Linked DNA regions of Caenorhabditis elegans. The protein of the gene in region 2 interacts with the protein of the main gene of each other region in a pairwise test. Each region holds a gene or a part of one and is shown on either strand. Other genes may lie near its edges.

The links. The genes of interacting proteins can lie anywhere in the genome.
Region 1: the proteins of attf-4 (region 2) and prmt-5 interact in a two-hybrid assay, tested with the Caenorhabditis elegans proteins (one large-scale study listed by BioGRID).

The regions. Positions count from the first base shown.
Region 1 is NC_003281.10:5,228,866-5,232,623, reverse strand, and holds the start of prmt-5 (Protein arginine N-methyltransferase 5), read right to left. Parts: upstream 2,070-3,758; 5' UTR 2,046-2,069; coding exon 1,750-2,045; intron 1,701-1,749; coding exon 1,619-1,700; intron 1,526-1,618; coding exon 1,332-1,525; intron 1,251-1,331; coding exon 969-1,250; intron 925-968; coding exon 519-924; intron 242-518; coding exon 1-241. Other genes in the region: atp-2 (ATP synthase subunit beta, mitochondrial), read right to left, coding at 2,389-2,489, 2,538-3,249, 3,297-3,758. UniProt on the Caenorhabditis elegans protein: Catalyzes the symmetrical dimethylation of arginine residues in targets such as small nuclear ribonucleoproteins, histone H2A/H4 and cbp-1.
Region 2 is NC_003281.10:6,078,679-6,082,436, forward strand, and holds the start of attf-4 (AT hook-containing protein attf-4), read left to right. Parts: upstream 1-1,884; 5' UTR 1,885-1,897; coding exon 1,898-1,996; intron 1,997-3,486; coding exon 3,487-3,591; intron 3,592-3,758.

The DNA.
Region 1 (3,758 bases), 850 kb from region 2:
GAAGTTCCGAAACAATTATGTCAGGTTGTTCGAATCCACGATCTTTCGCAATTCCCGGCAGACTTCGCATATCACTTTCAATAATCGTTACTCGTCGTTTCCATGTTCTCACATTCATATATTTCAGAGTGACGATTGCATTTGGATTCTTTTCAACAATATAAAGCTTCACTTTGAGACTTTCTTGGCCTTGTCGGAATGTGTTGTTGTATTCTCTTTCAGATTTCAGAATTTTCGTTCCCTGAAAAAAATTGAAATTTATAATATTTAAAACTATGGAGACGCATAAAAATGCCCGTTTTGATATTCATTTAGACCGAAAAACTGTAAATTGAAAAATGTTGCAGTTCGCTTCAGACAATTGGCAAAATTAACTGCAAAATGTTTGAATTTCCGGCTTGTCGCCAACTTCCAAACGAGACCCATGGTCAGGGGGTGGAGTGTTTTCAATTGGCCACAAAATATGTTTTCATGTCGAATTAAAAGGGACTTTTTCTACTTAATAGCCAAAAACTCACAATAGGACCACGTCCTCCTCCCAACAAGTAAATGACAACAGTTTTTCTTCCGTCAGCTCCAAGATCTTTTAATGCTCCAACTACAGCTTCTCCATACACGTCGTATTTAATTTGATCCTGCTCGAATGTATTATAAACTCCTGAATCCAAATTTTCAGACAATGGTTGAAGAGGTGCTTGCAAAACATCTTTGTATTCGATAACATTAAGATAATGAGTGGAGTCATTCGATCCTTCTCCAACATCAGGACGACTTCGGTAATTAACATTTCGAACTGCATGACGAAGAGCTTGAGAATACTCGGATTTGATAGAAGTATTGTACTTGAATGTATCCGTTGTGGCACGAAGAACGATCCGAAGTGCATCAGTTGTCCATAGATGTTTTAATAAATTTATGTGGGCACTGAAAAATTAGTATTTATTTGAAAATGTAATCTTGAAATTTACCTTGGAATTGATGCTTCTCCATTTCTTCCAGAAATAAAAAGACCCGATTCGATAACAAAAGCTGCTAGGGGCTCGGCCTTCCAACGGTCCACAAGTTTAAGCTCAGTAAGCTCATCGGGAAGTTCCGAAGAGATCGTCAAAGCCACTTGGAAATAAACACCACTGAAATTACCACAATTCTTCCGGAAATCGGCCCAAATTGTCCATAAATCAACATGTTCTATTGTGAAAGCGTCATAATCTTTGCACTTTTCAATTGCAGACGGAAGTTGAACCCAAACACTGAAAATAAATATAAACTTTGCTTTTTTAAAAAATATTTTACTGAAAAAAAGGAGCTATTTCATATTGCATTTTACTTACGTAAAACGCGAATTTCTAGTCCAAATCCATTTTTTCAAAATGGCAGCAGTACGAGGCGACGAGATGCGTGTGAGCTCGATTGCCATCGTTTGAAGACCCAAATAACAAATGTAGCTGAGCTCTTTCAGAAGATGTTCCTCGGAAAGCGAGGCAAAGGCTGGATCAGAAGAGTCACAGTCGATCCATGGAGAAATCTTGAAAAAAATGACAATTTCAGGTTTTAATTTAAGAATAAAGGGCTTGTTCTTCGAAAAAGTAATTAAAATTAAAAAAAAAACCCCCCATACTTTTCCTACAACATAGCTTTCCCAGAGATCATTTCTCAGCTGAACATCGGGCAAATCAATAACAGGTGGATGATTCTCCGCGCTGAAAATTAGTAGTCTAGTTGAAGTTGGGTAAGATAGTCGATGTGAACCTTCCATTAGGCGTCCAGAATGCGCGAACGACCCCTCCAATCGGGTAGACGACAAAGTTATACTTGAACTCTCCCAGTCGTGTACAGAAAGTAGCAACATGACGGTCTAGATTCTCGGCAACGTCCAAGGTTGTGGCCATCCATCCGATGTGTATTCTAGAGTTCGCTGCCTCAACAGAGCTTATACTTCTGCTGGGAGAATTACTTTTGGGCGAAGAACCAGAAGACATCTGTTCCTCATGCTGCTCCGCGACCTGTTGTGGAAACAGATTATCGGCATACGTTCTGTTACTCATTCGTTTAACCTGAAATTTGACGATCAACAAACTCGCAGTTTTATCATCGGCTTTCTGTTTATTTCTGATAAAAATATACTAGAAGTCAAATGAACTTGGGGTGTGAAAAAAATAATGTTTTTGCTTTATTTTTGTTGCCTTTTAGGGCATTTGGGTTGGTAGTTGAATTCGAAGAAGGGAGAGTGAGAGATGGAAAACAACGTATTGGGAGTCACCAAATAGTGGTCTGACGGAAACAGCACTACCGCAACAATACAATAAACTATACATTAAATTTATCTCTACCAAAAAACATTGAAAAAAAGAAAAACGAAGTGTCGGCGTTATAACAAAAAAAATAAAACTAATTTCCGTGTTGCTTGGCGAGTTCTTCGGCCTTCTTGAACACATCATCGATTCCTCCTTGCATGTAGAAAGCAACTTCTGGAAGGTGGTCGAGTTCTCCTGAAAATTGATTTAATTTTAATGTTTTCAACGTTTAAATATTCTTACCCTTGAGAATCATGGTGAAACCGCGGATTGTCTCTTCGAGTGATACGAACTTTCCTTGATGTCCAGTGAACACCTCAGCGACTTGGAATGGTTGGGAAAGGAAACGTTGGATCTTGCGGGCACGTGAAACGGTAAGCTTGTCTTCCTCGGACAACTCATCCATACCAAGAATAGCAATAATATCTTGGAGGGACTTGTAATCTTGGAGGATCTTTTGAACTCCACGAGCAATGTCGTAGTGGTTCTGTCCGACAACGTTGGGGTCCATGATACGGGAGGTGGAGTCAAGTGGATCGACAGCTGGGTAGATAGCCAATTCGGCAATACCACGGGACAAGACAGTGGTGGCGTCCAAGTGAGCGAATGTGGTAGCTGGAGCTGGATCAGTCAAATCGTCAGCAGGTACGTAAATAGCCTGGACGGATGTGATGGATCCCTTCTTGGTGGTGGTAATTCTCTCTTGCATACTTCCCATGTCAGTGGCAAGGGTTGGTTGGTATCCGACAGCGGATGGGATACGTCCGAGAAGAGCGGACACTTCAGATCCAGCCTGGGTGAAACGGAAAATGTTGTCAATGAAAAGAAGCACATCTTGTCCTTCCTGGTCACGGAAGTACTCGGCGACAGTGAGACCGGTGAGGCACACACGAGCACGGGCACCTGGTGGCTCGTTCATTTGTCCGTATACGAGAGATACCTTGGAGTTCTTTCCCTATAAATTGTTTATTTAAATACCATGAACCATTTTTTCCTACTAACCTTGAGATCAATGACTCCTCCTTCAATCATTTCGTGGTAGAGATCGTTTCCTTCACGGGTACGCTCTCCGACTCCAGCGAACACAGAGTAACCTCCGTGAGCCTTGGCGACGTTGTTAATGAGCTCCATGATAAGCACAGTCTTTCCGACTCCAGCTCCTCCGAAAAGTCCAATCTTTCCTCCCTTGGCGTATGGGGCAAGAAGATCGACGACCTTGATTCCGGTAACAAGAATCTCCTGCTCGACGGACATTTCGACGAATTCTGGAGCTTCAGCGTGGATAGCAGCGAAGTTCTTGGATGCAATTGGACCTCTCTCGTCAATTGGCTCTCCAATGACGTTCATGATACGGCCAAGAGTTTCTGGTCCGACTGGGATCTTAATCGGATCTCCGGTGTCAGCAACTGGCTGTCCACGGACAAGTCCTTCAGTTCCGTCCATAGCAATACATCTGACGACATT
Region 2 (3,758 bases):
AGCAAACCTTATCTACAGTTTTCTGGATGCAAGATCTTTATTTTTAAAAGAGCTGCCGAGTTCTAGTATTTCTAGACCACTACGTGTGGCAACATTCTTTCTCTTCCTATTTTTAGCTCTATATACCCCGGTTGACTTGATAGGCGAATTTAATTGAGAATTATAAATTTTCCATTTTCCAAAAAGTAAAATTCCAAATTCAAATGTTCTTTCTCCCACTCCAATATTGTAACATACAATAAAATTTAATCCTATCTCTCTTTCCTCTGTGCTTTCCATAACCTCTCTTCCATTTTGCCCGTTGGTGGCAGGCGATGGGCGGGTTTGACATCGTCCTTTAAGAATAATAAAATGTGTCATTTGGTGCCCTCTTTATCTCTATTTCTCTATTCCTCTCTAACTCTCGTTTACAAAACGCCACCTGCTCTCTCTTTCTCTTCATTTGACCCCTCTACTCCCAACACCCAAACAGACACCATCCTTTGTTCCGTTTTTTTTGGTTTTTTGATGGTGGACAGTGGTGATGGACATTTCGTTTTACTCCATGTTTTATTTTATTCTAATGTGCTATGTGTGCAACCAACATCTGCCTTCCACCGGTATAATGAGATTTTGACTAGGGAAGGGTCAACTCATGGTCACGTTGGCGACTCTTTTGGGACTTTTGAGTGAACATTTCTAAATTGTAGATTTTTCGCTATGGCCAGTTGTCAACCCTAAAAATTGGGATTTTCATGGTTTTTAAGGTACTGTTTTTTTCATGCAATATTTCAAATTCAATTATCTACAAACAAAAATATTTTCTGGAAAATATTCAACTGAAAAGCCAGCTGATATTTTCCAGCATTTTGTCAGTTGATAACTTTTTTCTAGCATCACAAAGTTATGATAATTTAAAGACTCTCCACACTTCCAACAGAGGTAGCAAAGAAACGAAAAGCTCTCGCTCAATAGGGTGCTGAGAAGCTAGACTCTGCACTCTCTTTGCAATTCCAGTTAGGAAATTTATAACTAACTAAAAATTGGCAAAAAATATTTTAATATTCTGAATTTATAACGAACTTTTGGCTTCTGGGGTAGTCACTTTGAAAGCTACATTTTGACGCGCCTTTTTTAAACGCCTTTTCGAAAATTTTATTTCAAAATTCGTTTAGTCTTCAGAATACAATATGATTCTGACATTTTTGGCAGAAAATTACATTTTTCACACTCCGTGGGAGGTCTATAAATTCGTTTTATGTTAATCGTGGCCAGTTAAAATTTTCAGCGCGTGCGCCTTGAAACTTTATTTTTCAAAAAAAAAACTTTTCCCCCCGATTACGCCTTCCCCAATTCTCGCCTATTTTGTTACACAAATTTAATTAAAATTTTTTCTAAAATTTTCATTATTTTCTCTTTCCCTCTCTCTTTTTCTGCAAAACCCACCTAGAAAACAATTTATGTGAAATTAAATTGTTATTTACTGCGCAACCGGAAAAATAAAATAAAATTTAAAAATTTGTAAAATGCGAAATCAGCAATTCAAGTATCTCTCTCCCTCTCTTTCTGGTGTCCTCGTCATCCACTACCAGCCACAAAAATAAAAAAAGAATTTCGCATTTTTTATGTGATTCAGAGAAGTGTCTCCCGTATTCGAGTACTATTTTCGAGTTTTGCAATACATCTTATCAAAAATATATGTTTTGGGGTGAAACGGGAAAATAGAAAGAGAGGGACAAGTGAGAGAGCAGAATTTAATATTTTTGATGACTTTTTCAAACAAATTTTTTTTGTTGAAAACTTTTTCCCTCACTTTTTCACATTTCTTATCATTCTTCTTCGCTTTCTCGAAATTTAATTTCATTTTTTAAACGCATTATCAATATGTTATACTTAATATTTCAGATCAACTCAGATGATGCTCCAACCGCCAACTTTAACGCCGAATGCGAATGGTGAAGAGTTCAGAGGATCCGTCAGTACAGATCGTAGTTCAGCTTCTCCTTCCAACATTGACGTGAGTTTGGATTTTCATCGTTTTGATGTGAAAAAAGAACACTATAAAAAATTACAAGACATATAAAAAAATTTTACTGTATGTCTTTTTTCAAACTTGTTCCCATGTCTTACATATTTAAAAACTATACATTAAGCTTGGAGAGAGGTTCAAAATTTTTGAATGTCTGAAAACCTACATGGGCGACCTCTAAAATTTCTAGACTTTAACAACAAAAAAATTGTGTTCTAAAAAAATTTCGCAGTTTCAAAGATGTAACGCAAATACATATATTACACATTTCTCAATCTTTTCTCTTGTTTTCGCACTCGTTTTGCCCGCCTCCCTCATTCATTTTCACAATTTCTCTCTCGTTTATTTTTTGCCTCAAACATCTCAAGATGATTTTTTATTTATTTCGAAGAAACTCGCAATTTCATTTTTTTCAACATTTTTGCCTCGCTCGTTAAATGTAAGAGAAATAGACATATTTTTCGATATGTATTGAAAAAATTGAGGTGAGAGTGAGAGCGATGAAAATGTGCTAATTCAGAAGGCAAACAACTTTTTTTTTCGATATAAAATTTATGAAACATTTTTTTTCGTTTTCCATATTTAGAAGTGCTTTTGGAAAAGGTTTAGTTTTGCCTTTATGCTCACTTTGAAATAAAATTTGCCGCTGTGGGACTCTGTGGGACTCGGAACCACACATATTTTGTTTTCCCGCTCTTTCTCTCCCTTTTTTCTGTTTAACAAAACCTTTTCAAAATAAAAAAAAGAGCACAATTTTCTTTTGGTTTTTTTTTGCGTTGTCCCCACAAGAATTTTATTATTTTATTATCTACACATTACACGATAGAAAATAAAACGTAGCGAAAATATTATCAGTTATCGGAATCGTTAAAATTATTGAAAAATTATAGATGAAAAAAATTCTTCTTCTTTTTCTTTGATAATGATAGGAATTAACAGAAAATTTCAATTTAATGATGATTGTTAGATGCTCGCGGAGCACACGACAATTCCGTAAAAGTGCGCGAACAAACAAACAGACTGTTTTTTTTGTTGAAAAAGCGAACTTTTCCTCCTCCCCTTCTTTCAATTTGTGCTCTCAAATCATTCATTTTTCCTACAAACATAAAAAACCCAATTTCTTTCGATTTTCCGTATTTTTTATGGCGCTCTTCTAAAACCGCACTATTTCTTTTCCATTTTTTTTCAATCAAATATTTATATATTTTTTTATTTATTTTGAGAAGGAAAACGGACAGGGGGGAAGGCGAGGTGGTGGTTGAGCCAGCAGCCCGCTCCCTCTCCTGTCACAGCAGCACCCAGCCACCACATACATACAACCCTCAATTTGAGTGAATTTGTGACCAATTTTCTAAATTTATTTGGTATTTGTTAGGTTGCTGCACGAATTGCTCGAATATAAATATATCTGATACATGAGTTTTTGCAATTCTTATTGATCAAGCTTAAGCTCTTCTCTAATTCTGAAATATTTGTAGGAGATCATGGAAGACGATGTGAATCAGAAGGACGAGGATGAAGATCTGAACTTAGTGGATCGTGTCAGCAAGCTCGAGACAAATTTTGTATTCATTCAGCATCAGGTGAGTGAAAAACTATTAATAAATTATTTTATTTTCTAAATCGAGAATGAAAGAAGTAGAAAAATATATTTGCACAACAATTTCGACAAGTGCAATGTGTAATGCAACAAGTCATAGGTGTCTAGTATTTATTTTGAAAATTTCCAAAAAAAAACTCGACTAGACAC